Arabidopsis thaliana: one gene and its partners. The protein of the gene in region 3 interacts with the protein of the main gene of each other region in a pairwise test. Each region holds a gene or a part of one and is shown on either strand. Other genes may lie near its edges. The genes, in order: HAI3, HAB2, PYL7 and HAB1.

Region 1 (7,283 bases), on a different chromosome or scaffold from region 3:
GCCACCAACGTTCTTACATTCTCAAGACATTGATAAGTTATAACCTGCGGTCCTAAATCACCCACCAAAGGGGAGAGATGAATTGATAAATTAAGACGAGATGTGTTGAATGTTGATAGAGCTAGCTGCCTATCTCTCCATACATGCCTTCTAAGGCTTCCTCACAAACCATAAGTAATTTGGTCGTTTTGACGCTAGATGTTTGTTTGTTGTCCCATATATCAAAGTCAGGTGCTCACATTTTTATTTGTTGTATCTCAATATGAAAATGATTGTATAGAAAATGAAGAAACGAAGGCTAAGTGTGCCTTTTTTATTATTTAAATAGTTTGTATATGACTTCAAAATATATCCAAACACAGATACTTTGGAATTTATAATGACAGTTGACATCTAAAAAAACCTGTAAATTGGAAGGTTTAAGCATATGTCTAATTATTATTTATCCTTTTCGTTTTTTATATTGTACATTCATTTTTTACCACTCTCAAATATGAACTTTGTATTTAGTTCTAATAAAATTATGAAGTTTTAAATACTCAACCGACTGGACTGGTACAACCAACCATCCAATAATGATGTCGAATCCGATATTTTGTCCCCATTTACAACACACTTGCATGGTTACGTGTGATATTATAATATGTATAAACGGTCTATAATTTTTCCTATACCGAGTTACAAATAAGAATCTCCATGAATAGATATCTGCTCTGTGGCTGATAACCAAAAATGGCAAAGAGAGGGGAAAGCTTGAGAGACAAACCTAAATGGAGTCTTGAAGGCATGACTGCTCTTGTTACCGGTGGATCTAAAGGCCTCGGGTCAGTCCCAATTTTTCTACCTTAATTACTTACTTCCCTATAATTTCAGTACCGAAACTGAGCTCTGATTTCAATCATGTATAGACTTTCGTTTTATTTGTTAATACGGCTCAATCATAGACTTATGTGGATCTTTTGATAGTATTTCTATGTTTAATCAAATCAACCCCTGAAAAGATCAAAGGCTTAATGATATGTATAAATTCATATTGATGTATAAATAGAAAAGCTGTGGTGGAGGAACTAGCCATGTTGGGAGCAAGAGTTCACACATGTGCCAGAGACGAAACTCAGCTTCAAGAAAGCTTACGTGAATGGCAAGCAAAAGGGTTACAAGTCACCACTTCTGTTTGCGATGTTTCTTCTCGTGACCAGCGAGAGAAACTCATGGAAACTGTTTCCTCTCTCTTCCAAGGAAAACTCAGCATCCTCGTAAGTGTGTGTGTGTATATATATAAGCTTCTCCTCCTCCTCGTCTATGAGCTTGGATCGACAATGACCAAAATCATGTTGAATTTTGTTTGCTTCGTTTGTATAGGTACCCAATGTGGGAATAGGTGTACTAAAGCCGACGACTGAGTGTACAGCAGAAGAGTTCTCATTTATAATAGCTACAAATCTGGAGTCAACTTTCCATTTCTCGCAACTCGCGCATCCTTTATTGAAAGCCTCTGGTTCAGGGAACATTGTGCTCATGTCTTCCGTGGCTGGAGTTGTAAATTTGGGTAATACATCAATCTATGGAGCAACCAAAGGTATAATTATACGCATACTCGAACAATTTATGATTCTTTGCTTCTATCGCGACTTAAATAAATGTATACGCATTCTAGGAGCCATGAATCAGCTGGCGAGAAATTTAGCATGCGAGTGGGCGAGTGATAATATAAGGGCTAATTCTGTTTGTCCATGGTTCATTACAACTCCGTCAACTAAAGATGTAAGACAATGAATAAGAAAATACATTTCATTTATAGTATGAAAAAATGGTTTAACTATTTCTTACGAAGTTTATGTGAAAATGTTTCAGTTCCTCGGTGATAAAGATGTAAAAGAAAAGGTGGAGAGTGTGACACCATTGAGACGTGTTGGAGAGGCAAATGAAGTATCATCGCTTGTTGCATTTCTATGTCTTCCCGCAGCTTCTTATATAACAGGTCAAACCATTTGCGTTGATGGAGGTTTCACTATTAACGGCTTCTCTTTGCCTTAAACACGTATATATGCATATATTCATGCTTAAATTTATGTGATTAATTAGTGGTTTCACTGCATATTAATTCATACAAGTTTTATATGTAACTTATGTTGAGGGAGCTCACTCCGTTCATGCCTTCTAATGTTTGGACGAAGAACTCAATCTTTTATCTTATCGGATAAGAAGTTACTTGTGTTCACATTTGATGTTTGTTCGTTTCCAATCGTATTGTGACTTTTGATATATAAAATAATTATTGTATATATTCTACTTATGATATATGATTATATAGTCATGTAATGATGACCGTACGATTTTCAACTCTAGTATCCCTATCTTTAGGGGGTTATGGCTAAAAGCCTAAAAAGATTACTTTTGCTAAAGGAGTAAAGATTATGTTCATAATTTTTTTTAATTTATATAAATTTATTATTATTATTCTCACGCATAACACAAAACAAAGAAAGAATTATCTTCATAATTATATATATATATATATATATATTTGATATAAATTTATTATTATTATTATTCTCACGCATAGCACAAAACAAGTTTCTTCTATATATCAACTAAACTAAAAGACATGTCGTTGGAAACATACTCATATATCATATTCAAGGACTCATAATAATAGACATGTAAACAAAATATTCCTTAAATTTTCTAAATTCAAAAACAAACTATATATGTAACTTGTTATTTAATCTTCTTGGGTATATAAAACTTTATCGCATTTCTTGGATATTTGGACGATGAGAATTCAAATTGCTTTGTCGATGATAAATTTGTTTAATAATTGTTCAGACTGCCATCACAACATAGCTGATTACTGTCATATAAGTCATACATATTATATTTCCGATGATTCTCTGGACTCTCAAGACAATAATAATAAAAATTCAGATATAAGTTTATTAAGGTTTTCTTTGTTAACGTGTTTACTGTCTAGGGACAAACATAAATTATTAGCACTAAACTTGTTAGGTTTTGAAAGTAAACACTGATTTATACCTAAACTTAGGTTATTCATGTAATCAAATGTGAAAACTAACGTAATGAAATTCCTCTAGTTATTTAAATACAGAAAACAAAACCTACCTTGCGGGGAAAAGCATCGTGGCGCGAAAGGAAACTTCCTATGATCCGTCATCCGTGCCGTCTCAATTTGATTGGACCACGAATCTCGCACTCGATACTGACGCCTTACGTGGATTACTTTTTTTATAGAAAGAATTTAAAATTGTTTCTGAAGAGGCAGGTTTTGTGTATAAAATAGAGAATGCAAGTAACGTGTAATGACATTATTTCTCAAATTGAATGGTTTTCGAGCATTTTTATTAACCAGTGAAGCAACCAAAACAGGAATCACCAGTTCTTGAAAGAGTTCATCAAAAAAGAAAACATTTCTTGAAACATCTAAGAAAGAGTTTTGTTCTTCTTGATCAGAAATACAGAGCAAAATCCATTTGAAGACATCAAAGTTTAAGGTTTTTTTCCCCGGATATGGCCGAGATATGTTACGAAGTAGTGACCGACGCATGTCCGTCGTCGGTTTATGAATCAACGCCGGCACATTCACGGCGGAGGCCGAGATTCCAAACGGTGATGCATGAAGATTGGGAGAAGAATTGTAAGCGTAGTAAACAGGAGGCTTTAGCTACGAGATACTCTTCAATTCCTCGAAGCTCTCGGGAGGATTTCTCTGACCAAAATGTCGACGTATCCAGTCCAAGATACGGTGTTTCTTCGGTGTGCGGTAGAAGAAGAGAGATGGAAGATGCGGTGGCAATTCATCCTTCATTTTCTTCTCCGAAGAATTCGGAATTTCCTCAACACTACTTTGGTGTGTATGACGGCCATGGTTGTTCCCACGTACGACTCCGTTACCATGCATTCTTACGTTTTCCGAAATTCTATGTTTTCAGTTTTAGCTGATACGAAATCTTTTTTTTTTCCTTAGGTTGCAGCAAGGTGTAGAGAGAGGCTTCACAAGCTGGTGCAAGAAGAACTAAGTTCAGATATGGAAGATGAAGAAGAATGGAAAACGACGATGGAGCGTAGCTTCACACGCATGGATAAGGAAGTTGTATCGTGGGGTGATTCCGTCGTGACTGCAAATTGCAAGTGTGATCTACAAACACCGGCTTGTGATTCCGTCGGATCAACCGCTGTTGTCTCAGTCATTACGCCAGATAAGATCGTTGTCGCCAATTGTGGCGATTCCAGAGCAGTTCTCTGCCGCAATGGGAAACCAGTCCCTTTATCAACCGATCACAAGGTCAGTTCCGTTCAAAACATGTTCAGTTTCATTTAAGCAATGATTGGATTTGTGGATTAACTTGGAGATTGTGTTCTTTGTAATGAAACACAGCCTGATCGGCCAGACGAATTGGATCGAATCGAAGGAGCTGGTGGACGAGTCATATATTGGGACTGTCCAAGAGTTCTCGGAGTCTTAGCAATGTCACGAGCAATAGGAGACAACTATTTGAAACCTTACGTGAGTTGCGAGCCGGAGGTAACCATAACGGACAGGAGAGACGATGACTGCCTCATACTAGCTAGTGATGGTTTATGGGATGTTGTGTCAAACGAGACCGCCTGCTCTGTAGCGCGTATGTGTCTCCGTGGTGGTGGGAGAAGACAAGATAATGAGGATCCGGCGATTTCGGACAAGGCTTGTACGGAAGCGTCAGTATTGCTAACAAAGCTGGCGTTGGCAAGGAACAGTAGTGACAACGTCAGTGTCGTTGTGATTGATCTCAGAAGATAAGGACACGTAAGTGGACACTAGTCGAAGAGGAAGACAATTTTGCTTTAACTTTCTATATCAGTTTTGCTTTTTGGTTATTCTTGGAATACGTTGGTTGTATACAAAATTAACCCGATTTTATGGAAACCCCGAAAAAGGGTTAATTAATAGAAATGATAAGAATTATTCTTGTCAACCCTAATCCTGTTTCGTGTATGCTTATAATCTTAAATCAAATCAAATTAAGAAGGTCGACATGTAAAAGCATTTTGCTTTAAAAAAGATTGTCAGACTATACTATACCTTTTACTTTTAGGCATTAAGATACTTTAAGAGGTACTTAGTCTCTGCCGCTAGGCAAAGACATGAGAGTAGATCATAGGTTCTAAATGCAATTATGAGTATTAGCAGTATCTAAAGAATAAGAAAAACAGTAAGCAGTAGTAACAACAAGTCCAATAGAAACGAGGTCACGTATAAATTTCAACATCGAATCGACTTCAGACTAGCAGCTTTGATTGTACAACCCAAATTGTAGCAAATAATGATGTTCTTATGACTAAAGTTGAGGAAATGGTAGAGACAAAACAAAAGAAAGAAGGTTTTTTGAGAACAAGACCTCTCTCGGGAATCGAATTTCACGTTTGTTTGTTGTCAGGTTTCTTTTAGGGCCTTAAGTTTTCTGTAACCTTTATCGGTGCCAAAGATCCTGAAGTAACATAGATAAACATATTTACATGTTTATTATAGTTATGACTTCTGTTAAAGTAAGAAACAGAGTTCAATAATTTACCAGTCCATGTAAACAAACGTTGATGAGTAGTTGCCAGACTTTGTGTAGAGTAATCGATGATGGTAGTCATGGAAGTCAGCACTGTAAGCAAATGATTCCCACATTAATATTAAAGATCTGTTAGGTTTAAGGTGTTGCTCTTTCAAGGCAATCACAGGTTAGAAGTCTTATCTTACCCGCCGTATAGAGGAAGAAAATTCGAGGGGCTCCATGGGAAATGATAACCACAATGTGCCTCAACTGTCTCAATAACTCTGAGCATCATCCATAACCAAAGGGTGATCAGGTGAGGCCCGGTGAGAGCCGGACCAACAATGGTAGCAAAACCAAGGAACAGAATTTCAGCGGGATGAGCATATTCTGATGTCAAACCAAACGGTGTCGCGTACCTGTATATAAGTAATACCATAAGATTGTTTATTGAGGACCATGAGTGAACTAACATTGTCAAGCACAAAAAAGATGGTGAGTACTGATAGCTTACTCATGATGCACACTGTGCACGTTCTTGTAGAGCCATTTAGTATGCAAGATCCTGTGACCCCAATAGAATACAAAATCCTCAATGATGAAGTAGAATAAGATCTGGGCAGACACCACTTTCCTGCAAGAGCGTCACCAGATATAGTTTCATAAACCAGATCAAACATAATGCAGGTTCTTCTCATGCAGCTCAACACTGACATTTTATATATATTGCCCATTGGAAGAGTTTAACATCAGAACCCAAAGGCAAAAAAAGCTTTCAGCACTAAAGAACCTGATAATACCAGGACGGCAGAGGAAAACTGCTTTCCATGCCCATGAATCTGAATACAGGATACGACGCCATCATGAGGGGCAAGTTTACGCAGCAATGGTAAAGTAATAGTCGAGCAATGCATTTTCCCTGGGCTTCAGGAGTATTACTTTTGGTCTGCAAAAGACCAAACAAGAGTACTTGATAAATCTAGAAGACAAGCTAAACCAGTTATCACTTTGACATTACCATTGGGGAAATGAGAACACTGACAACTTGGTGATATCTTTCCATTCAGTTTATATTTGAACAGACACACAAAGCTATTAGTTAGAAGACCACTGAATCATGAGAAGAAAAGACAAACCTGAATTTTGTAGTTGCTCAGAAAACCAGTCCTTTCTAGGAAAATGTAAGGGAGTCCAGACAAGAAAAACACGCTTTCATGAAGTATAAAACTCCCAATACACGCCAGTTGAAAGTCACTGAAATGCGTAACAAGGTACTGCATCATCGCCACAAAGAAGGGTCAGTGTCACAGCTAGAACTGTCAAACTAAAGAGCTAAACATGATTGCCAAAGGGAGATAAAATTTGTTCAATTCCACGAAAACTGAAGGCAATTGTATATCATTGACACCATCCATCCAGTCACTCACGCAGAAAAGCAAGTTAAGAAGACGTTCAAGGAAAACCTATTGCTTATCAACACGTATCACAATCACAGATCCTCTAAGCTAGTCCAAGCTCCAACAACAATACATAAATCCCACTCAAATTCCAAAAAAAAATACAAGCACAAACAGAGATCACATACGAAATCAGTAATAATCTGTAACTAGAACAGTCAAATCCAGATCTGAAACCACAACGCAATCGACACGAAACCAATTCAATCTCAACATAAAGGGACCACAACAATACAATACGATGGACCACAGACGACAAACACAAAATCAACCTAACACGGCAGAT
Region 2 (8,760 bases), on a different chromosome or scaffold from region 3:
TGTAGCAATCTCAGCAGCGATTCTGAACCGTGCTCTCCAAGATAGTGGTGGAGTATTATCTTTGCAAAAGAGACGATCTTCTAATGTTCCATTTTCCATGTACTCATACACCAGGCAGCCATATTCGGGACAAGCACCGAGGAGGATCACCATGTTAGGGTGCCTCATGCAACTTAGAACCTCGATCTAGTGAGGAGACACATATGTTAATTAGTATGGAGAGGACATGCAATACATTAGGATAATGTCGGATTATATTATTACCTCTTGGTTAAACTGCTTCAGGCCTTGTGAGACATCTGACTTCAAGAGTTTGATGGCAACAGAAGTGTTTTCAAGAACGGCTTTATACACAGGTCCATACCCTCCTTCCCCAATCTTTAGAGCATCTGAAAAACCGTCGGTAGCACCTTCAACATCTCTGATGCTATATCGTCTGTAGGAAATACTATCGGCCATATTCTGTTCCTTGAACCTGGCTTGCATCTCCACAAGTCGTCTCTTCTGGGTCTCTATTTCCGCTAGACGTTGTGCCACTTCAGTTGCTTGGATCGCAGTCTGTGTTTTTTGCTTGTCCATCTCAGACAATGCCCTAAGCATCTCTCTTGCTGCCTTTGCTTCCTCCAGCCTTTCAGTTTCGGCGGTAGCTCTAGGTCCTAGAAGATGAGGGGCCTACAAGCATTCATTCAATGTCTGATATTAGTCACTCATCTTTGGGACCTGTTCAAGGAAACATTCTCGGTTGTGCTCATGGAAGTAAGTATCTTACACTTTCTCTGGACATGGAAGCATTAAACTGCTGCAATTCGAATCTCAATCTTCTCACTTCTGCTTCAAGATTTTGATTCTGATCATAGTCATGCACAAAGAACACAAACATCTCAGAATCATGCATCTGACACTCAGCATAACCGAAACACTATATCTACTTTTCTGAAACATTAATTTTACCTGGTGTTCAGTGATATTGCCCCCAGATAAGCTTTCCTCTCCATCAGTTATCTCAGACTACAGATTCGAAAAAAAAATGTCAACGCCAGGCAAATAGGTGGTAAGAATATCGATTTGAAACGTGATGGGAATACTAACCATGGAAGAGTGTGAGCTTCCTCCATATGTGGATCGTCCTAGGATGCTGTAGAAGCTAGCATTTGATTCAGCACTGTGATCGCTGGGAAATTCATTACTAAGCTCTGACATAGAACTCCTATACAAAGATGGCTTGTAATGAGGTGTAGGTGGAGATAATTCTCCGTTCAATGCAGGAGATGACCTGCAAGATTGGCAAACCCAATGACTACTATGAAGCAAAAAAGGCATTCATTCACAAGACAACCGGATAAAATTTGAGTTCATTAATTACCTTCCGGATTCACTGGAAGTGGAACTTGTTGGGCCAGGATCAGACATCATTGAGGGATGTTTTGAAGGATGAGGAGGGTGTTGAGGAGCTTGAGGTGTCTGAGGACCTTGAGGCGTGTGAGGACCTTGAGGTGTCTGAGGCCGACTCGCTGATCTGCTTGTTAAGAGCTTCCCTTTAGACACAATGAAGACAGCACATGTATCTGGTGTTGTTTTAAGCAGAGTCGTTGGCACATCTACGCTCTTAAACTTCCTGATTAAGACCATAAATCACAGAGAGTTATAGGATTTAGCATTCAGATTAAGATTACAGTTTAGGTTATATGAGAGAAAGAAAGAGACTTGAGGAAAGAATTTCGAGCAGAGGCTCCAATGACTATATTTGAAATGGAATTGTTGGTGATGTAGTCAACAATTGCACTCGAGATGTCAATATCGTGAAGAAGAACCTCCGTTGCTATAATCTGAGAGAAAATATATAATTAATGAGGTCGGTGAGAGCTATGTGTATATATATATATATATGTGATTGTTGTAAGGAGAAAGAGAGGTTGATATCTGACCCCTTTCCGAGCACAGAATCCTCTAAAGGGAAGGAAGAACTGATGCGCCTCTTCTTGGTTGTCATGTGGTGCTTCTGTGTTTTCTCCTGCCCCAAATCCTGTTTCAAGAGTTTTCATTAGATTGATGGATTGATAACAATGATGATGATGATGATGATGCCATTACGTACTCAGTTTGGTTTGAACATGGAGAAGGATACAGTTTGGAGAATCGATGATGATATTCTCAACAGCCCATTTCAAAGCGTGTTGGCTGTTCTTATCTTTATCAATGGCTATGGCGGTAACTGCTTTGCTGTCTTTTCCTTTGAGTCTTCTTGCAGCCATTGTTTCTCAGCCCTCGAGATGATTGCTGGAAACTTTTGCTTCTGGAGAAACTAGAAAGACATTGTGGTACGGTCTTTCAATTACCCTCAGAAGGAGGAAATAAGGAGACCGAATGATAATGAAAATGATAACAAGGAATTAAGAAGAGAAGAGGAGAGGAGAGCTGTTTTGTTTGTTGAGAAAATTTAAACTTATAATGGTTTTGGCACTTTGCTAAAATTAGAAGGTTTTTCTTTTCTCCAACAATCTAAACAGTCATAACGAACAGAGAGGCAGACAAAAAGAGGATTTTTTTAATTTTAGTTGACGACTTATCTTTAAAGGATATTCCATATCATATCTTGTAGACAAAAAGAGGATTTTTTATTTTTAGATTTGTGTAATGGCATCTTATATTGATATATATGTAAACTAGATAAATTTGGAATTATAGGCAGTCTTGATCTTTTAGAAGAAAGAAGAAGACCATGAGGAAATCCAAAGGTTGAAATTAGTTTTATAATTGTTTCGACGAACGTGTTAAATATCTTGGGGTAACCTGTTTGGTTTTGAAAGGGCAAAAGGGTTTGAGTTTGAAGGACTTTGTCTTTTGTGTGTGATTCATGTCGCTGATGAGGAGGACCTTTGATATTTCAAAGAAACCATATGGAGTATATAATATATAGCTAATAATGATTTTCGTATAACAAACAGCCGTGTACAAGCGAGTGTGGAATTTAATAATAGTTGTGGACGCTACAATGGAAGTGGAATAGAGGATCATGGGCGAGTTCTTGCTACGTCCATTATCCTGAATGATGATGCGGTTCCCACAACACAAGTCCTTATTACTACAAGTCATCATGATAATGTAGCAAAGAGGAAGGAGGTGGAGTGTCTATGAGCTAGAGTGTATACCTCTTTGGGGCACTGTGTCAATCTGCGGTGAAATGGAGGATGCTGTTAGAGCTTTATCTCATTTTTCAAACTACCTATCAGAATGCTTATGTGTGATCATGAAGGGATAATAAGTCCAACGCTCACATGTCTCACTAGTCACTTCTTCGGAATTTATGATGGCCACAGAAGAAGCAGACCTGTTTCTGGTTCTGTTTCTTCTGATGATAGGATGGTTCTTCAGGCTGTTTCCCCTGAGACCGTCGGATCAACTGCTGTTGTTGCTTTGGTTTGCTCATCACATATCATAGTTTCCAACTGTGGTGGTTCAAGAGTGGTTTTACTCCGCGGCAAAGAATCCATGCCTTTATCAGTTGATCAGAAAGTATAAAAGCTGAGACAGAGCTAATGAAGTTTCTTACCTTAATGTAAACAAGTGGACGCTAGAGCCCATATAAGTGACGCTGACTGGGCCTTAATGTAGGCCCATTTCAAACTTTGGTCTCCGAGAAAAGTCTTTCGTTGTCTATTTTTTAACCACGTTATGATAACACTACATGTGTCATGAGATGCATGAACATATGTCATGAACATACTTTCAATCTTGGATCAAAAAACTAAATTAGAAGAATAAACAGAAGACTTGACCTTTAAGAGGGAAGGACACGCGTCATCTATGTTGCCATTATTGAATAGATTAATAAATTAGTTTTATAATTGATTGGAGCAACGTGTTAATAATGAAGGTCGTTGTCACATAAAGAAACTTGGGATTCCGTGGAGTGCTTATAATTTTTCTAATTTTATTTTTTGGGTAAAAACCTCATTAGATCCAGGAGAACCCATGTTTCGTTTCGTTTTGGAAAGATAAGAGAGATAAAGGTTTCGACTTTTTTAGGTTTTTCTGTGTGTTTTGTGATTCATTTCGCTGATTGATATCAATTCTCTCTGTTTGTTGTCCCTTCTCTTCAATTTCACCTGACTTTTGTTTTTGTTTTGGATAAAGTTTTCACCTTTGTGTCTTCTCTCTGCTCTCTTGTGTGATCTATCTGAAAAAGGCTGATTTTTTTTTTGTGGGTTTCTAAATTAGGGTTTGTGTGAGTTTATTGTCTTTCTGATTCGATGAAGATCAAGAGTTATAGAGGATCGTTAGAGTGATCAAAATCCCACGAATTCACAAAGGATCCGTCTTCATAGATCCGTCAGATCTGTTCAGCGGAGGTACATACTTCTTCGTCATTCACTGCTTTCTGGATTAGTTGGTGAGAATAAACGGCTGGTGGGTCTCGGTGGGAAGCTGAATTGGATGTAGAGTTCATCAGACTATAGCTTAGAGAAGAAAATGAAGTTTTTTGAATCGTTTTGCTCCAGTTGAGGTTTGGAAGCTGCATACCAGCTCATGGAAGAGATTTCACCTGCAGTTGCACTTACTTTGGGTTTAGCTAATACGATGTGTGACTCTGGAATCTCATCTACTTTCGATATCTCCGAGCTGGAGAATGTTACTGATGCAGCTGACATGTTGTGTAATCAGAAAAGACAAAGATATAGTAATGGAGTGGTGGATTGTATTATGGGAAGTGTTTCAGAAGAGAAGACTTTATCTGAAGTGAGAAGTTTGTCTTCTGATTTTAGTGTAACTGTCCAGGAATCAGAAGAAGATGAGCCATTAGTATCTGATGCGACTATTATTAGCGAAGGTTTAATAGTTGTGGACGCTAGGTCTGAGATAAGTTTGCCAGATACAGTTGAAACTGATAACGGGCGAGTTCTTGCTACGGCCATTATCCTAAACGAGACAACCATAGAACAGGTTCCCACTGCAGAAGTCCTTATTGCGAGTCTGAATCACGATGTGAATATGGAGGTGGCAACTTCTGAGGTAGTCATTAGGTTACCTGAAGAAAATCCTAATGTAGCAAGAGGAAGCAGGAGTGTTTATGAACTAGAGTGTATACCTCTTTGGGGCACGATTTCAATTTGCGGTGGAAGATCTGAAATGGAGGATGCTGTTAGAGCTTTACCTCATTTTCTCAAAATACCCATCAAAATGCTTATGGGGGATCATGAAGGGATGAGTCCAAGTCTCCCATATCTCACTAGTCACTTCTTTGGTGTATATGATGGCCACGGAGGCGCTCAGGTATGCTGTAGTTCGTAAATCCTTATACTGATTTTAGCAGTAGAAAGTTAATTCAACTATGAACCCGGAAGATACATGAGTTTATGTTTTGTTGACGTAGGTTGTATGTATATATGATAAAGGGTTTGCTGGAAACGGGATTCTTTGCAGGTTGTTATGTAATATATGACGGCTTTGGTGGAAATCGGATTCTTGCAGGTTGCTGACTATTGCCATGATAGAATCCACTCTGCTTTGGCTGAAGAAATCGAACGGATTAAAGAGGAATTGTGTAGGAGGAACACTGGCGAGGGTAGGCAGGTCCAGTGGGAGAAAGTCTTTGTAGATTGTTACCTAAAAGTCGATGATGAGGTTAAAGGGAAAATCAACAGACCTGTTGTTGGTTCTTCTGATAGGATGGTTCTTGAAGCTGTTTCCCCTGAAACCGTTGGATCGACTGCTGTGGTTGCTTTGGTTTGTTCATCGCATATAATAGTCTCAAACTGTGGTGACTCAAGAGCAGTTTTACTCCGAGGCAAAGACTCCATGCCTTTATCAGTTGATCACAAAGTAAAAAATCTTCTCTTTCCCTCTAAAATAATTTAACACAATCTGAGAAAGTTTCTTATTTCTAATTCATGAAATTTCTTACCCTTTCTCTGCAGCCAGATAGAGAGGATGAGTATGCACGAATAGAGAAAGCTGGAGGAAAAGTTATACAATGGCAAGGCGCTCGTGTTTCTGGCGTTCTTGCCATGTCCAGGTCCATCGGTAGGTCAAACTTGCACTTATGTCTTCCATCTTGCCTAGTGACAGAAATATGAAGAGAGTTTTATAGGTCAAAATTATCGATAAATTAAACATTCAGTAACCTTATTTAGAGATGAGGATCATTACTACCTGTTACAGTCTCTGCAAAATCATGAGATCTCCTGAAAGTGGGTTTCAATCTGCATCGTTTTCAGGTGATCAATATCTGGAGCCATTTGTAATACCAGATCCCGAAGTGACGTTTATGCCACGAGCTAGAGAAGACGAGTGTCTAATATTGGCCAGTGATGGACTTTGGGACGTAATGAGTAACCAAGAAGCTTGCGATTTTGCGAGGAGGCGGATCTTGGCTTGGCACAAGAAGAATGGAGCATTGCCTTTAGCTGAGAGAGGTGTAGGAGAAGACCAAGCGTGTCAAGCTGCGGCTGAATATCTCTCCAAACTCGCTATTCAAATGGGAAGCAAAGACAATATCTCAATCATAGTGATCGACTTGAAAGCTCAAAGAAAGTTCAAGACCAGATCTTGAAACAGTGTATGCTCGAGCTCTTACACTATTATAATTTTATTATTTCTTATTTATTGAAAAAATTTCCACAAGTTTACATAAAAATAAGAAGTGAAATGTTGGGGGGAAGAAGAATTAAGACCTTGATGCATAGCTGAAGTCCATTCCTTTTTCTCATGGACTTGAATGTGTATGTTTGTTATGTATAAGAAGAATAGAGAAGAAATGTTTTTACTTTGGAGTCTTGTAGGTGGATATGTTGTTGTAATATTGGAGATGTGGCTTAAGGAATTGTAACTGAAATTTATGTCACATTCACCTTAATACTTTTCTGTAATCTATTATATATAAATACTTGTTGTGAAAGAGTTATTATTGTCTTTTCTATTGTTATTGTTATACAACAGGTAATATTGATTCCAAAGTGTTTAATGAGGGATGCTGTATCAAACATGAAAACTAAGTGAAGGGTTTGGAGAAGGATGGTTGTTTAAAGCTATTTCCCCTGCTTTTTTTACTAAGAGAGTAGAGTTTAACAATTAAAAGAAACCTAAATAAGAGATCATAATTGGTACGTTAAGGTTTCATAATTCATTAGAATTAACAAAAATAATGAGTTGGATAGTTGAAGAATCAACAGAAACCCAAGTGATGAATGGATCAAAGAGAGTCACATAAAGGAGATCATAACTGATGTTTTAGTGTGGTGTATTGTCTCAAACAATGTGCTGAGCCAAAGAAAGGATCTTGAGCTGTTTCCTGAGGCGCATCTCGTGCGGGACAGGACCAAACACTCGGGTACCAGTCGGTTGGTTGTACTCCATTTTCCTCTTGGAACCATGTGAATTATTCTGCCCTTTCTTTTCCTTAATGCCAACAACTACAATGGCATTGTCATCAAACTTGACTTGGCTTCCATCAGCACGTCCTTTAGGCATCGCAGCACGCACAACCACACCGTACACGACCATCCCTTTCTTCACTTTACCTTTTGGGATAGCGTCTTTCTTTACTTTTTTTTGAACAATTGGGTTAGCTTCTTTCACTGAACCAACAATGATATCGCCAAGTCTTGCTCCTTTCTTACCTCTCAGGGATTGAATGCACATCACCTCTTTAGCACACGAGTTATCCACGCATTTGAGAATCGTCCCCATTTGAATGAATGTCCTATGTTGTTGCTGTGAATTGGAAATCATCAGGACACACAATTCACAGGTTATACCCCACGAATGCATATGAAGAAAGTTTCATCAAGGACGTATATTTGCGAAAAGAGGCTTGACCTGAGAGAGGATGCTTCCATTCATCATTCCATTGGAGGAGGAATTCATCAAACCAGAGAAAGCATTGCAAAGACCTCCAAGCAATGAACGTCCTACTCATATTGTCGATGAATCATATAACGACATCACCAACAATTAGTGACATTCACAACAAGAACAAAAAAGTTTTAATCTTGAGTCTGCATTTCATGAACCAAAGCAAAGTCCATGACATATCACAAACCCAAAAACTCAAAGCTCATTTCGAAACTTATACTAAATCAATGTTGCAAAAAATCTAATTTTTAAAGAACCAAACTTTATCGAATATAATAATATTAAGAGATGAAAATGTACCTTTGGAGAGCTTGGAAGCTAAAGCTGTCGCCATTTCTGCAATTCAAAAGTTTCGATCTTTAGTGTCGCAGAGAGTGAATGAATCTTGCGATTGCACAAAGACACCAGATTTAGGGTTTAACGTCACACACTCGCTGTCGCAGCGATCATTTGGGCTTGTAATGATTTTACTCATGGATTAAATTATATAGTAAAAAAGTGGTGACGTTGTCAAAAGTAGGCGTGCCGGAGTGGTTATCGGGCATGACTAGAAATCATGTGGGCTTTGCCCGCGCAGGTTCGAATCCTGCCGCCTACGTTTTTCCTTTTTTTTCGTATTTACCTTATTTTCCTACATTTTAAAACCAGGGGCCATAACATTTTTTCCACATGTACTATAACATTTGTTTATCACAAAATCTGAAATTCTTAATTAACAAAAATAAACAATGGTGATGCCCTAATAACAAACATTTCTTTCTTCTTTTTTTTTGCTACGAACTTTTTACTTTTGTTGATTGTTCATGCATTTACAAAGACAAAATCCAAAGTTTCTTAATGTTATGAAAAATTCCTAAATCAAGAAGTTAAACGGCTGAGAAGAGGTTGATCAAGTGGAACAATTCACCG
Region 3 (7,017 bases):
GTGAACTTGTCCAAATTTTGATGTGCATTAACGTTTGTTTATATTTTTGTAGGGGGTGAATGCTGTCTGGAACCAACTCATAACGGGGCTTATCGTGTTAAAATTACTGCTTATGCAACAAGACCCGTTGCGGAGATGCGGAGAGAGCTTGAAGAACTCTTAAGAGGAAAACCCATAAACCATCCAGGCTTCACACCTAGAGTCGTGCAGCATCTTATGTCCAGAGATGGTATTAATCTGATGCGGAAGATCCAACAGGAGACAGAAACTTACATTCTATTAGATAGGCACAATCTCACAGTACGCATTTGTGGAACAAGTGAGAAAATTGCCAAGGCAGAACAAGAACTGGTTCAGTCACTTATGGATTATCATGAGAGCAAGCAACTTGAAATCCACCTCCGAGGTCCTGAGATCCGTCCTGACCTCATGAAGGAAGTTGTGAAGCGGTTTGGTCCGGAGCTCCAAGGTATCAAAGAAAAGGTGCATGGTGTGGATCTCAAGCTCAATACCCGGTACCATGTTATTCAGGTTCATGGGAGCAAAGAAATGAGGCAGGAAGTACAAAAGATGGTCAATGAACTTGCACGAGAAAAGAGTGCACTGGGTGAAAAACCAGATGAGATTGAACTTGAATGCCCCATTTGCTTGTCTGAAGTTGATGATGGCTACTCTCTTGAAGGATGTTCACACCTCTTCTGCAAAGCTTGTTTGTTGGAGCAATTTGAGGCATCGATGAGAAACTTTGACGCATTCCCAATACTTTGTTCTCACATAGACTGTGGAGCTCCAATAGTAGTCGCTGATATGAGAGCCCTCTTATCACAAGAGAAGCTCGATGAACTCATCAGTGCATCCTTGTCCGCTTTTGTAACATCCAGTGATGGAAAGTTGAGGTTTTGCTCCACACCTGATTGCCCTTCCATCTACCGTGTAGCTGGACCTCAAGAATCCGGTGAGCCATTCATCTGTGGAGCATGTCACTCAGAAACATGCACAAGGTGTCACCTCGAGTATCACCCGTTAATCACTTGTGAAAGGTACAAAAAGTTCAAGGAGAATCCGGACTTGTCGCTTAAGGACTGGGCAAAAGGGAAGGACGTAAAGGAGTGTCCGATTTGCAAGTCGACGATAGAGAAGACTGATGGGTGTAACCATCTGCAGTGCCGGTGTGGAAAGCACATTTGTTGGACCTGCTTAGACGTCTTCACTCAGGCAGAACCTTGTTATGCCCATTTAAGGACAATTCATGGTGGAATCGGATTAGTCGAGTTAGGTGTCCCAGAGCACCCTGTTGCCCAGCCTGTTCACAGGCTTTGAAACCGGACTGGACCCATGTATCTATATCCTGTAACATCTGGTTTGCTTAATGTGTACATATATGTGAACATAGTGTAGTTCGGTATAGTACCTTCTTTAACCAATTGAATGAACCGATCATATTCTAATCCGGATGCCAAATAAACTAAAGATTGTTGTAAATGAAAGACTTGGGACTTGACTCGCTACATCACTGATTACGCGTAAATGTCTACAGAGAGTTTACTAAGTTGAAAGAAAACTACTTCCTAACATACAGAGACATCGCCATTAATGGCCTTAACTTAAGAGTCAAAAAAACATTTGATGGGCCTACCCTTAATTAAAAGCCCAATTCGATATTCGAATCGAACCCACCGGCCTAACTAAACTGTTCAGTGTCCCCAAATCTTTTTGCAACTTCTTTCTTCTTCATATTCTTCTCACCGTGAAGGCGTCGTCACCGCCGATGTTATTATCTCCGGCGATGTTTTCTGATCATCACTGCTTTACTCTTACTGCGAGGTTGGTTATTTTCAAATCTTCTTCTCTCCGTTCTTTCTTTCGAAGTCAGAAACTTTGCCGCCATTTTCAGTAAAAGGGTTGATTCTACATTCCCTAGAATCATCTAATAACTAGGGTTTTCATTAGGTTACGTATTGGTTAAAATTAGTTGAAATCATGTTTCTTATTTCTCTTTTCGAACTAAATTTGGTAATCAGATCTCTAGAGTGTATGATTTGTCATAACATCTAATCGAAATTAGAATCCGTATATGTTTCATTCAGAGAATAAATCCTGACTTGTTAATTTGATATAGAATGTCAGATTCTGATGAAGCTAAAACGTCGGAGGAAGAATCTCAACTTGCTGAGCAAGAAACAGAGACTCAAGAAGGTGAAATGACTAAAAACTTAAAGAAAAGAGATCTTGATGCAGTAGAAGATGAAGATTCGAATAACGAAAGCTCCAGATTAGAGAAACTAGAGAAGAAGATAAAAAAAGAAACAGCGAGGAAGCTTGAAACTGACTTTGTGCTAACAGGGGAAGAGGATGATGATGCATTGCCCTTAGCCTGTTCCATTTGCCAAAACCCATTCTTGGATCCTGTTGTCACCAACTGCAACCATTACTTCTGCGACAAGTGTGCTCTAAAGGTAATCTTTTCCTTACAACAAGTTTCGTAATTTCTGAAAACACACTCAAAACAGATTTTCCTTGTTATTTTTTTTCATAATGCAGCATCACACTGAGAACGATACTTGTTTTGTGTGTAACGAGCCAACTCTAGGGCTTTTCGACACAGCCGTGGAGATCAAGGAAAGAATAGAGGAAGAACGTGAGAAAGCCAGAGGTTTGTTAAAAACGCAAAACTCTCTGTTTTGACACCAAAAACCTACTCTTACAAAACTCGCTCGGTGATGTCTCTTTGTAGCCATGGTAAAGGAAGTGACAGCAATGTTAGAAAAGGCATCGACAATGGCGGATGACGCCAAGGGCGTAGCGCAAAAGGTTGTAAAAATGGTGGAGGAGATTGAAACAATGGTGGAAAAAGTGGCGGCTATGGCCACAAAGGCGGGAGAAACGGCGACAATGGCGGCAGATATGGTGAAAGAAGCTGAGGAGACGATGGAAACAGCTAAAGCTAATATGTCCAAAGCCTTTGTGGTAATGAAGTCGGTGAATTGGAACGTGTAAATCGGGTCAAAACAGAGTTTTATTGTGATCTCATGCTGACATCAGCTACAATCTTTATCTAATAAGATAGATTCTCACAAGATTCTTTTATCTATCTACTTTTTAGAGAAGATGAGATCATACTTCGGAGATAGATAGGTGTCGTAAAAATTGGGAAGCTTACTTGGCAGGAGAAGAGAGATATACACACGTGCTTAAAGTCAACAGCTAATCCAAAAAGGTAGACGACAAACCAGTTAAACTAAGACACGTAATCTATCTTAAAGATTTGTCGGTTCATCGTAAATCCGTTGGTGGATTAATATATGTCGGTGTCTTCGTTGATTTTCTTAGCCTAACCAACCAAACATAAATAAAAATCGAAGCTTTACTTTGTTTGCTTCTATTATATCCACTTCCAACAAGATTCCTCAAAAGGAAAGAAGAGAAAGAAGATAAGAGATATCTGGTTGGTCGGAGATGGAGATGATCGGAGGAGACGATACAGATACAGAGATGTACGGAGCTCTAGTGACGGCACAGTCCTTAAGGTTGCGTCATCTTCACCACTGCAGAGAGAACCAGTGTACCTCTGTTCTCGTCAAATACATTCAAGCTCCTGTTCATCTTGTACGCTCTTCTATTCTCTCATCCTCTGTTTTTCTTTCTCTGTTTTCTTTATGTACTTTGTTGAAGTTAATTCTGTCTGATTCACCGGGAAAATGAAATTTCGCCGGATTTAGGGTTCCCGATCTTTCTATTTTTGTTTGCAAATTCTCGTTTTTTTTTTAGTTTACTTGTTGGTCTCTCTTAGTCTTAAAGCTAAGGATAGTGAATATACATATATGATTCAGGTTTGGTCACTGGTGCGGAGATTTGATCAGCCGCAGAAATACAAACCATTTATAAGCAGATGCACTGTAAATGGTGATCCTGAGATCGGTTGTCTCAGAGAAGTAAATGTCAAATCTGGTCTTCCAGCAACCACCAGTACAGAGAGATTGGAACAGCTTGATGATGAAGAACACATCCTCGGTATCAACATCATTGGTGGTGATCATAGACTTAAGGTGACTAAATCCAAATCTCATAGTATTCAGAAACATTAGCGGTTGCTATAATGGTTATTGTTTTCTGCAGAATTACTCTTCGATCTTGACTGTGCATCCGGAGATGATTGATGGAAGGTCAGGAACTATGGTGATGGAGTCTTTTGTTGTGGATGTTCCTCAAGGCAACACCAAAGATGATACATGTTACTTCGTGGAATCACTCATAAAGTGTAACCTCAAATCCTTGGCTTGTGTCTCTGAAAGATTGGCTGCTCAAGACATTACCAATTCCATCGCAACTTTCTGTAACGCTTCCAATGGATACAGAGAGAAGAATCATACAGAAACCAACCTTTGAAGATTTGGCTAGATTAGTCCCACGAACAAACTCAGTGAAGGAAATTTAGATTCATAGAAGCACGTGTGATCATGCTTCTCTGCTGCTTTACTCAGATCAGCTCCATGGGCCATTTTCGAGCATGCAGTCAAAGTTTTGATGTAATTTGTTTTCTGGTGTTTGTTGGACAGTGTCTGTATTTACGCACCATTGTTAGAAAAAACAGAGCTAGGTAGTATCTATATTATCACCAAGAGTCGTTGCAGGAACATTTTCCGTCTCTGAAATGATGAACCCTTGCCCCTTCTTGTAAAACAATCTCACGGTTTCTCAAAACCGACATGTATTTGGCTACGGTGTGGCTATCAGAACATATATTCGTGTTTTTGACCACTCTTATAGGAGCTAAGCCTTTCTTCTTGATAAGGCCATACGTCATTGCTAACTTCTCTGTATGTCCCATAAGCAGCTTCTCTTTCTCTGAATCACTTATGTCTTGGTGTATACAGCTTGTGTCTGGCACATAACCTGATTTCTTCATCTCAGAGACTAATTTGTACAGCTCAAAGTATATATCTCCTTCATCAGGATGTGTTTTTCCCTCCGCATAGAAGATGTGAACCGTTTGATCTATCTGAATCCAGCTCCACAGATCCTGGACTCTCACCCTGTTATTCCTCATTAAGTTCCGTATACGTTCAACATCTTCCCATCTGTTCAAATTACTGTACAAGTTTATCATCATCATGTAGTTAGCTGAATTGTGTGGTTCTAGTACTTGAAGCCTCTTCCAAGCGATTTCCGCGAGTTCTAGGTCTCTATGAATCTTACAAGATGAAAGAAAAGCACCCCAAATAGTTGCATCGGGTTTTAATGACATTGTTTGAATGAAGTCCCAGGCTTCATCAAGATAACCCGATCTCCCGAGCAGATCTACCATGCAAGAGCAGTGTTCGATGGTCGGGATTATACCATAACGAGACCTCATAAGATCAAAGTATTTCCACCCTTCTTGGACAAGACCTGAGTTCTTACAGACAGACAAGACAGAGGTAAACGTTATAGCATCTGGTTCCATGCCCGCTTCAAGCATCACACTGAAAGCCGCGATCCCTTCTTCGCCTCGCCCAAACATGGCATAACCCATGAGCATACAGTTCCAAGAAGCTAGCGATTTGTTCTTAATGCCCCAGAAAATCTCAATCGCACTTTGCAGATCCCCTGATTTTCCATACATATCTACTAGTGCAGTTGCAACATATGCATCGCAGATCAAATTTTTCCTCAAACAGAAACCGTGAACCTCTTTGCCACTGTGTAGTAGACTTAAGCAACCTAATATCTTAAGCAAGGTGGACATAGTTGCTGCGTTCGGACCAACACCTTCTTCCTGCATTTTAATGAAAACTTTGAGAGCATTCCTGAAGTTTCCATTTTTGGAACATCCTGAAAAAATGGCTGTCCATGAAACCACGTTAGGGGCCACACCTTTCTCCTTCATCTTCCCTATCACATCTAATGCCTTCTCAGGTTTCCCCAAAGTCGCATACCCAGAAGCAAGACTGTTCCATGTAATAGCATCAGGTTTGATCCCTTCCTTCTCCATTCTAATCATCAAAGCTTCAGCATCCTTTAGAAGACAAGCGTACGAAAGTCCCGAGACGAGTGAATTCCAAGCAACAATGTTCTTCGCATCCATCATATCAAAAACCATCCGGGCGTAAGGCAAGTAGCCAGTTTTAATATACATGTCGATCAAGGTGGTTTCTACATACACATCGTACCAAAGCTGATTTCTTAATATGTATCCGTGGATCGCTTTCCCAAGTTTAAGATGCCCCGGTTCAGCTACAGCTTGAAGAAGACTACTAATTGAGCTCGTGCTTGGCTTCAGACCAGCAATTTGCATTCTCTTCAATACAGCAATGGCATCTTTGGATAAGCCTTTAGAAGCATAACCTGACAAAAGAGAGTTCCATGTCACTATATCTGGCTTCAGACCACATATCTCCATCTCGTCCAGGAGACCGATAGCATCATCTACATAACCAAGTTTCGTATAACTCGATAAAATCGAGTTCCACGAAGACAAATTCCGGTCTTTCATCGAGTTAAAAACTTTCCTGGATAATTCAAGCTTGCCATTCCTCGAATACATGACAATCAAAGAGTTACACATAGACACATTTGATTCAAGCCCGAGTCTCAGAACATACCCATGAATCTGTCTCCCTTCTGCAAAACCTTCCTTATTGCTACAAACTTGCAAAAGCTTAACCATTGTGCTATCATAAGCTTTAGCACCAGAAAACTGCATCTCTCTGAAAAGTTCCACAGCCTTTTCCCAATTCCCACTCCGCAAGTTTACCATTACGATCTCGTTCCATGCAAGATCATCTCTTTTAGGCATTTCATCGAATAACTTGTTAGCAAAACCCAAACTCACACATCTTCCATAAAAACCCATCGACGCAGAAACCACTCGTGTGTCTGAATTATCAAGCCCTCTCTTGATCAAACCACCATGGATAGTTAAACCCAGAAACCGATACATTAGAACAGCACAAATTCTCAAAACCATAGCGAGAACTACTTCATCAAAATTTACTCCTTTGTTCTGTAGCTGAACAAATTCCTCTAAGACCCTATACT
Region 4 (8,977 bases), on a different chromosome or scaffold from region 3:
AGCGATTCTGAACCTTGCTCTCCATGAAAGTGGGGGTGTGTTGTTTTTGCAGAAGAGGCGATCTTCGAGTGTTCCATTTTCCATATACTCATATACAAGACAACCATACTCGGGACATGCACCGAGAAGGATTACCATATTAGGGTGCCTCATGCTACTAAGAACCTCAATCTATTGAAGAAACATATGTATGAGTCAGGAGAAGGAGAAGCAAAATAAGGAGAGCAATATAAACTAACACAGTACCTCTTGTTGGAACTGTTTCAGTCCCTCTGTGATACCCGACTTCAAGATTTTAATGGCGACAGAAGTGTAATCGAGGACAGCTTTGTAAACAGGTCCATAACCTCCTTCCCCAATCTTTAGAGCATCAGAAAAACCATAGGTTGCATCTTCAACATCTTTGATACTATAACGTCTGTAAGAAACCGTTGTGAACATCATCTGTTTGTCCAAATTGGCTTGCATCTCAAGTAATCTTCTCTTTTGGCTCTCCATTTTCGCTATGCGCTTTGCTATTTCAGCTGCTTGGAATGCAGCAGACTGCGTTTTCTGCGTTTCCCTATCAGACAATGCTCTAGGCAGCTCTATTTTTTCATCTGACCATGGGGTTTCTTGGGACTACATAATGTAATATCTAATGATTATTATTCACAACAATTGTCATCAACATGGAAGATAACAGTATCTTACGTTTTCTTTTTGGTTTGTAGTGTCTTTGTCCTTGTTAAACTGCTTCAATTCCAGTCTCAGTCTCCTCACCTCTGCTTCAAGATTTTGATTCTGTCAAAAAGGATAGACCATATCAAATCATGTTGACATTCTGCAAATCCAGGACCAAATTTATGTTCCTGAAAAGCTTTACCTGTTGTTCCACGTAATTTCCGACAAGTGGACTTTCCTGTGCATCAGTATGAAAACCAAGAAGGAAATGTCAGAACACTGAGAAACTGAACATTTATAAGAAAGTGACGATATACTACTAACCGTGGAAGTTGAAGAGATCGAGCTTCCGATGGTAGTGGAACTATCAGAGACGGTGTAAGAACTCACAGTTGATACCATATCACAACTTCCATTGTCAGTCTCTGACTGAGAGATTTCACTCATAGATTGCGGTGTTGAGATGCGAGGTGAATTAGGTTGGAAAAAATTTGAATTTGGTTTGTTGGTTTGTGTAGATACAGGTGATGATATTGATGCGCTGTAAAAAATGTAAACAAAATGAAAAGGCATACTTCACTAAATCCTGTTGAAAAGAAAACCATGGCCAATGGTTAGAAGAGAGTTGAGATTACCTGTCAGAGTCAATGGAGTTTGTTGAGTTGTACAACAAAGAAGAGAGATTTTGTTGTCTGGAAAGTTTATGACGGTGACTCGCGGATCTGCTTTTTAAAAGCTTACCTTTGGTCACAACAAAGACGGCACAAGTCTCTGGAGTCGTCTTAAGCAGAGTGGTTGGTACATCTGGACTCTGAAACTTTCTGATCACAAAGAAAAATTGAATGTTAGCATTTTGTATAACCAAAGTTGAGATGATACCAAGCATGAAACAGAGAAGAGGAGAGAGACTTAAGGAAGGAATTGCGTGCAGATGCGCCAACAACAAGATTTGCAATGTAATAATTGTTGGTGATGTAGTTGACAATAGCATTGGAGATGTCAATATCATGAAGAATAACCTCTTTTGCTATGATCTGAAAAGTGTGTATATACAAGAATGTCATGATCATATTTGATGCATTATAAGTGTGAAATGTTGTTGCAAGGAGATTGGAAATGATCGATTAATACTAACTCCTTTTCGAGCGCAGAATCCTCTGAAAGGAAGAAAGAATTCATGTGCCTCGTCCGGATTGTCCTGATGAAAATGTCCTCCTGTGTCTCCTACTGCAAAACATACTCCTAATTAGGGTGGCTCTTTGACGTTTTGGTTTCAATGATGAAGAGAAGAGCGAGAGATGCTTACGTTGAACGTGGATAAGGACACATTGTGGAGCATCAGCAACAATATTTTCAACGGCCCATTTCAAGGCGTGTTGGCTGTTCTTGTCCTTATCAATGGCGATCGCCGTGATACTGCCATAGTCCTCCGAGGTCCTTCTAACTCTTCTTGCAGACATGTTAGAATCTTGCTTCCCAAGAAACATGAATAACCTGCTTCACAAGGAAACTATAATACTCATAAATGATCTCATGTCTTCTTTGTCACAAAACACCCACAACCAAGATCGATTGTGTTGTTTTTCTTTTGTCTGGCTTTGCAACCTCAGAGAAGAAACAATGAACAATGAAAAGAAACAGAAAATTGTATTGTGAGATGATGAAGCTTTTAGTGGTTTTACAATTTTTCTAATTTTGGAGGGTTTATTTCTCAAACAACTCAACAGTCTTGTGAAACAAACAAACAAGAATGGAAATTTCCACAAGTCTCAACTTATCTTTAATTAGAGAGTGATTTTTGGGAAGTTGCTGGTGAGATCTAGTTTGTACTATAATGTACGCGTTTCGATTAAAATAAAATTCGATTATACATTATCAAAATATTAAATCGATTATTTTATCTTAATCAGTAAAACAAAGTTTTTAGATAAAAATATTAGTAAAACTAGTCAAACATATGGTTTAGTCTTTTAGGTTTATATAGACTAGAGGTTGAACCAAAAAAGAGAGTAAAATAGACTAGAGAATAGAATGTTATGTTTAAACATGATCACACATCTCAATTTACACACATTTACTTAATTTGAGTTTCGATAATAATGCAACAGCAATATATGTATCTACGAATTTGAAATTTATGAGTACAAAATCTAGAGGTGTAACAAAATATTTATTATTTTCGTCCCTGATCAATCAGAGTAGCCACGTGGGCGGGTGGTAGAAATCGAAATTATTGCGATTATTGACTTGGAAAAAAACAAACACACGTTGCATTTTTTGATTTACGTATCCAAAAAGAACAAAGAAAAAAAGGTAAACGACCAAATAATATAATTTTCTGGGGCTGTCGTCTTCCATCTTTATTTCTTCTTGGCGATATCACCATATCTTATACGTCTCTCGAAAGATTATTACTCTTAAGACGATTCCATTAAACACTGATTGTGAGAACTTGTACTTTAACGTTATCGAAAAGTATACATAAATATTTTTATTTTTTTAGGCTGATTCATTCTTACTGATAACAATAATTTTGTGTTATTCTTTCTTACCTAGAGAGTTCTATAGACAAGTTCGTAACTATAAAACCAATCTTTATTTCTTACTCATAGCTTTCAAAACTAAAACTTGATCAGTTTAAATAAAATATATGGGAAATTTTTGCTGAACCAATATATTACGTGTCAAGATTTCATTGATCCTATTAATACAATTTATTCATTTTACAGTTATATCAAATACAAATTACAACTAAGATACTCACTTATCTACACGTCAGATTGTACAACTAAGATACTCACTTATCTATATCTAATTTTCGTGGTTAATATTACATGTCAAAATTTTATGGAAATAATTAGTGTTTTTCTACTTTATATAAATTTTTATGATATATTTTTTTTTTAAAAAAAGGAAAGAGAAAGAAATCAATTTCCATTTGTAAACATATTTTTGGTTCTGAAAATAAATAAATGGGAAAAAAAGGAATTAAATAACATCTGTTGTTGTTAGCTGATCGACAGGTGTTGCCTGAAGCGACCTTAAAAAAAGAAAAAGGACAAAAAGTTGAAGAAAAAAAGAGGACAAAGTTCACAAAATGATACAAAGACTAATACGTGTCCTTTTATTAATCCTCTTTTGTAATAAATACTCTTTTTTCCTATAAATTATATTACAAAACCAAAGAAAAAAAGGAATAAAAAAAAACAGAGAGAAAAAGCAAACCACACAATATTCTCTTCTCTCTCTCTTTGTTTCGCTGATAGAGAGAGCCTCTCTCTAAGCAATTTAGCTCGAGCGAGAAATAATCCTGAGGGAAGAAAATAAAAAGAAGAAGAAGAAGAAGAACATCTTTACTTTTGTTCTCTCTCTCTCTTCTGTTCGATTTTAATTTTTTTGCAGATGCGAATATCTTCTAAAGATTCATCAACTGGTTAGTTCTTTCTCTCTTCTTTTTTCTTTCCTGATTTTTTTATGTTGTTTTTCTGTGTAGTTAGCTTTTCAATCGGAAGATTTTTGCTATTATGTGTCGAATCTCTCTTGTTGTTTTGAGCTTTGTGTTTAGTTTTGCTTAAGAACAAAGTTTAAATTCATCTTTCTATTTCTGGGTAAAGCTAAAGCTTCTTTTTTAATTTAGATCCAAGGAAACCCATGTTCTACTATATGATTATGGACGTTAATGGTTCGAATTTTTTAGGGCTTTCTTGTGATTGATTTCGCTGATTTTCCCTCCTTTTTCTGGTTTTTGTGTGAATTTTCTTTGACATGACCGTTTGGATAATGATTCGTGAGTTTTTGATTAGTGCTTTGTGATCTCTCAATAGGGTTGAAATCAAGATAAGGATTTGAGAAAAGATCGACGAAGTTGTTGCGATTTTGGGATCAAGAGAGTGATATAATCGAGTGAGGAGAATTCGTCGTATAGATTCGTCAGATCTGGTTATCTCCGGTACTTAATTCTCCTTGATTCGTCGTTTTAACTATGCTAAGTTAGTGTATGAATAAAGCGGCATTTGGGTCGCTGACAAAAACTTATTTGGAGCAAGGATTCTTCAACATCATGAAACCATTGCTTAGAGTATTCGAAGAAGAAGATGAAAACAATTGATTTCTCCTAAGTCCATCTTTGAAATTTAAAGCTTTGTTGTGGTGTGGTGTGGAAATCTCTGATTTTGGAGAGCTCATGGAGGAGATGACTCCCGCAGTTGCAATGACTCTTAGCTTAGCAGCCAACACCATGTGTGAATCATCACCTGTCGAGATCACTCAGCTAAAGAACGTTACTGATGCAGCTGACTTGTTATCTGATTCTGAAAATCAAAGCTTTTGCAACGGAGGGACTGAATGCACTATGGAAGATGTTTCTGAACTGGAAGAGGTAGGTGAACAGGATTTGTTGAAAACTTTATCCGATACGAGAAGCGGGTCTTCCAATGTTTTTGATGAAGACGATGTATTGTCTGTTGTGGAGGATAATAGTGCTGTCATAAGTGAGGGCTTGTTAGTTGTTGATGCAGGCTCTGAATTAAGCTTGTCTAATACAGCTATGGAAATAGATAACGGGCGAGTTCTTGCAACCGCGATTATCGTAGGCGAATCAAGCATTGAGCAGGTTCCCACCGCGGAAGTTCTTATCGCGGGTGTAAATCAGGATACCAATACTTCGGAGGTTGTCATTAGATTGCCAGATGAAAATAGTAATCATCTGGTGAAAGGGAGAAGTGTTTATGAACTAGATTGTATACCGCTTTGGGGCACGGTTTCCATTCAAGGGAATAGATCTGAGATGGAGGATGCTTTTGCCGTGTCACCTCATTTTCTGAAACTACCCATCAAAATGCTTATGGGGGACCATGAGGGTATGAGTCCAAGCCTCACACACCTCACCGGTCATTTTTTCGGTGTTTATGATGGTCATGGAGGCCATAAGGTATGCTATATTCACATTTTATGTAAGTTGTTTTAGCAATGTAGATTGTTATACACCTCTTTGAGATGTTCTGGTTAAATTCATAGATTTTAAATCTACAATGGCTTGTAGGTTGCTGACTATTGCCGAGATAGACTCCATTTTGCTTTGGCTGAAGAAATAGAACGTATAAAAGACGAATTATGCAAGAGGAATACAGGAGAGGGTAGGCAGGTGCAGTGGGATAAAGTCTTCACGAGTTGTTTTCTAACTGTCGATGGTGAGATTGAAGGAAAAATTGGTAGAGCCGTTGTTGGTTCTTCTGATAAGGTTCTTGAGGCTGTTGCGTCTGAGACCGTAGGATCAACTGCTGTTGTTGCCTTGGTTTGCTCATCACATATAGTAGTTTCTAACTGCGGTGATTCGAGGGCGGTTTTATTCCGTGGCAAAGAAGCCATGCCCTTGTCAGTTGATCACAAAGTAAAATGAACTTCCTTTTCTTTCCCCAATCTAACTTACAAAGTTGATAAAAGTGTTTTCTTACCTCCTTCCATTTTTCTGCAGCCAGATAGAGAGGATGAATATGCAAGAATAGAAAATGCTGGAGGCAAAGTTATACAATGGCAAGGCGCACGTGTTTTTGGTGTTCTCGCCATGTCTAGGTCCATCGGTAAGCATTGCTTCTTTTGATGACCAGTAATGCACATCACACAAACGTGGCTTGATAATGTAATTACTCCCCTACATGAAACATTAGATCCTCCGGTTTCTTTCCTCCTCTGGAACTATGCAGGTGACAGATATCTGAAGCCATATGTGATCCCAGAACCGGAAGTGACATTCATGCCTCGGTCAAGAGAAGACGAGTGTCTCATACTAGCCAGTGACGGTCTTTGGGATGTAATGAACAACCAAGAAGTCTGCGAAATAGCAAGGAGACGGATATTGATGTGGCACAAGAAGAACGGTGCACCGCCTCTAGCAGAGAGAGGCAAAGGAATAGATCCAGCTTGCCAAGCCGCAGCTGACTACCTCTCAATGCTTGCTCTACAAAAAGGAAGTAAAGACAACATCTCCATCATTGTGATTGACTTGAAAGCTCAAAGAAAGTTCAAGACCAGAACCTGAAGCTTAATTACAAGCAGTACGCTTACTTACTTTTTTTTTTACTGGGGGTAAGTTTCGAGTTTTCGTATAATTTAGATCGTTAAGGATCTAATTTCGACAGGTTTTTACATGTTAATTACTCAATATTGTTAGAAGGGAGAAAAAATAAAGAAAAAAAATGGAAATGCGGGTTGGGGAGGAGAAGTAAAGACTAAAGACTGAAGATTAAGAAGATGATGCATAGCTAATTATAAGTACATTCCTTTTTTTCTCATGGTACTTGAATTCGTATGTATAAGAAGAAATAGGCAGAGAAATGCTTTTTTTTTTTGGGGTATTGAAATAGTTGAATATGTTGTAATAGTTTGAGAGATGTGGCAAATGAAATTGTAATTGAAACTATGTCACATTAACCTTCTTGCATTTGTCTTTTCATGTTGTGTTCTTCGCTGTTCTATAACTTAACGGTGAGATGAGAGTTTATTGGGGGTTTAACCACAGGTCGATTTTTATTTTGATGTTAAGTATTGATAAAGCAATACACTTAGCAAAAGGTGGACGTGCCGGAGTGGTTATCGGGCATGACTAGAAATCATGTGGGCTTTGCCCGCGCAGGTTCGAATCCTGCCGTTCACGTTTTTCATTTTTTTTTCTGTTATCATCACATTTTCCATAACTTACCTTAATCATCTAACATTTTAGAGTCTTTACGAAATGTTAATATTTCTTTTCTTAAATTGAGTAGAAATAGAAATCAACCTCATACCTACAAATGTGGAAGTGACGTGTGAAACCGTAAGTGTATTTAAATCAAACTTAGAAAGCTGTTAATCATTGGCACCACATAAAATCTAGCTTGTGAGAGAAAGTTTATCGTTTTTAGATAAGTTATCAAGATAACAAGACTTGATTAGATTATAGTATGTTGCCTTTGACGGTTTGGCCTGGCCATTTGTAAAAGCCACGACAACACCGGCTCTCATATAATTATTAAAAGACTAATTAGTAATCACGGCCTCAGCTTCACATAGAAAACGTGTTTATTAACACGTTAGACATATGATTCCGTTGAACAATTTTGATTATTTGACGTACCAATCTGTATTTGCTTCATGTAATCCAGCTGTATTAGTAGGCCTTTCTTTGTATTTCCCATTTCCAACTTTCACAAGCAAATACCACCATTTTCCAGCTTGTCTAACAAGTTATTAAAATAAAAATAAAAAATTCCCCCAAAAAAATCATGTGTCAATTGAACCTTCTCTTAGGCATGACCGTATGACCAAAGTTTGGTTCGGATTTTAAAAGATCAAGATTTGACAATTCTATAAAAAAAAAATTTGGGTGTAAATGTCATTTGTCTAGAGTATGGTTAAGATACTAGAACCTTTTTCTTTACAAGTTCAAAATTCAGAATTAAAAAAATGTAAGATTTTCAGAGTTTGTGGACATCAAATTATCAGGTAATATGGATAGTTTGTGAAAATTGCAATATCTATCTATACAACTAATCATTGTGAAACATACATTTAGGACTAGGGAGTTAGATACTGTTGTGTTGCCGAGACTCAAACTCAAGAACTGGTCAGATGTACCGAGTAAAGTTGTATATAGTCAACTAGTACATATTTGAACATTATACAATTAATTCAGATATCCTCTACGTAAAATGCGCAATGTATTTTCATGTAATAAATAAATATATATGCAAATTGATGAATTTGACATAGATATTCAACTAAATACGTCAATTATCCGATTGCTTGTCTCCTATAAAAAATCTCTAAAATACTCCAAAGACATATTTTTTGTTGTAAAAAATGTGTAAATTAAAGTAAGAATCCACAGAAAGAAAAAAAAACAAATAAAAATGACCAAATCCAAGTCCCCAAGCATTTTAAAAAACAAATATCAATCCAAGCAAAAGCATAAAAGCAAACACATTACAGCATCGTAAGCCAACCACTCTTAAACTAAAAGTTGTCTTTCTAATCAAAAGCCAAATAATAGAAAGAGTATGGAAGAAGATGATGGAGACGCGTCTACGCCGTTTTGGCTTCAATCACGCCGCAATAACACTTACTTCCGCCGCACTGCAAGTCTCGGTGGCCGTACAACCACCATCGCCACTCAAATATTCTTCGCCGGAACAGCTGCAATCCTCATAGTCGTCTTCATTATCCCTCCTTTCTTCTCCTCTGTTTCTCAGATTTTCCGACCTCATTTAGTCCGTAAAAGCTGGGATTATCTCAACTTCGTTCTCGTCCTTTTCGCCGTCCTTTGCGGCTTCCTCAGCCG

Evidence for each region.
Region 1: the proteins of PYL7 (region 3) and HAI3 interact in binary tests that used the Arabidopsis thaliana proteins (3 or more experiments, as listed by UniProt).
Region 2: the proteins of PYL7 (region 3) and HAB2 interact in binary tests that used the Arabidopsis thaliana proteins (3 or more experiments, as listed by UniProt).
Region 4: the proteins of PYL7 (region 3) and HAB1 interact in binary tests that used the Arabidopsis thaliana proteins (3 or more experiments, as listed by UniProt).

What each region holds. Positions count from the first base shown.
Region 1 is NC_003071.7:12,605,327-12,612,609, forward strand, and holds HAI3 (highly ABA-induced PP2C protein 3), read left to right. Parts: upstream 1-3,348; 5' UTR 3,349-3,528; coding exon 3,529-3,897; intron 3,898-3,985; coding exon 3,986-4,303; intron 4,304-4,396; coding exon 4,397-4,798; 3' UTR 4,799-5,024; downstream 5,025-7,283. Other genes in the region: AT2G29370 (NAD(P)-binding Rossmann-fold superfamily protein), read left to right, coding at 733-824, 1,049-1,256, 1,363-1,579, 1,658-1,764, 1,855-2,037; SMO2-2 (sterol 4-alpha-methyl-oxidase 2-2), read right to left, coding at 5,432-5,486, 5,571-5,687, 5,747-5,959, 6,055-6,174, 6,341-6,486, 6,677-6,814.
Region 2 is NC_003070.9:6,030,390-6,039,149, forward strand, and holds HAB2 (homology to ABI2), read left to right. Parts: upstream 1-3,880; 5' UTR 3,881-4,527; coding exon 4,528-5,271; intron 5,272-5,469; coding exon 5,470-5,820; intron 5,821-5,915; coding exon 5,916-6,021; intron 6,022-6,215; coding exon 6,216-6,550; 3' UTR 6,551-7,009; downstream 7,010-8,760. Other genes in the region: AT1G17540 (kinase with adenine nucleotide alpha hydrolases-like domain-containing protein), read right to left, coding at 1-186, 265-672, 770-847, 952-1,008, 1,090-1,273, 1,364-1,615, 1,705-1,826, 1,926-2,023 and 1 more; AT1G17545 (Protein phosphatase 2C family protein), read left to right, coding at 2,720-2,735, 2,918-3,120, 3,199-3,519; HLL (Ribosomal protein L14p/L23e family protein), read right to left, coding at 7,246-7,710, 7,816-7,907, 8,152-8,185. UniProt on the Arabidopsis thaliana protein: Key component and repressor of the abscisic acid (ABA) signaling pathway that regulates numerous ABA responses, such as stomatal closure, seed germination and inhibition of vegetative growth.
Region 3 is NC_003075.7:443,724-450,740, forward strand, and holds PYL7 (PYR1-like 7), read left to right. Parts: upstream 1-3,254; 5' UTR 3,255-3,456; coding exon 3,457-3,606; exon of another isoform or gene 3,607-3,830; coding exon 3,831-4,046; intron 4,047-4,116; coding exon 4,117-4,386; 3' UTR 4,387-4,612; downstream 4,613-7,017. Other genes in the region: AT4G01020 (helicase domain-containing protein / IBR domain-containing protein / zinc finger protein-like protein), read left to right, coding at 53-1,320; AT4G01023 (RING/U-box superfamily protein), read left to right, coding at 1,769-1,824, 2,120-2,456, 2,542-2,653, 2,735-2,997; AT4G01030 (pentatricopeptide (PPR) repeat-containing protein), read right to left, coding at 4,613-6,919. UniProt on the Arabidopsis thaliana protein: Receptor for abscisic acid (ABA) required for ABA-mediated responses such as stomatal closure and germination inhibition. Inhibits the activity of group-A protein phosphatases type 2C (PP2Cs) when activated by ABA.
Region 4 is NC_003070.9:27,386,152-27,395,128, forward strand, and holds HAB1 (HYPERSENSITIVE TO ABA1), read left to right. Parts: upstream 1-3,796; 5' UTR 3,797-4,096; intron 4,097-4,487; 5' UTR 4,488-4,846; coding exon 4,847-5,593; intron 5,594-5,704; coding exon 5,705-6,052; intron 6,053-6,136; coding exon 6,137-6,242; coding exon of another isoform or gene 6,243-6,262; exon of another isoform or gene 6,263-6,365; coding exon 6,366-6,700; 3' UTR 6,701-7,176; downstream 7,177-8,977. Other genes in the region: AT1G72760 (Protein kinase superfamily protein), read right to left, coding at 1-171, 247-621, 694-783, 866-901, 988-1,204, 1,299-1,484, 1,573-1,697, 1,799-1,890 and 1 more; AT1G72790 (hydroxyproline-rich glycoprotein family protein), read left to right, coding at 8,697-8,977. UniProt on the Arabidopsis thaliana protein: Key component and repressor of the abscisic acid (ABA) signaling pathway that regulates numerous ABA responses, such as stomatal closure, seed germination and inhibition of vegetative growth. Confers enhanced sensitivity to drought.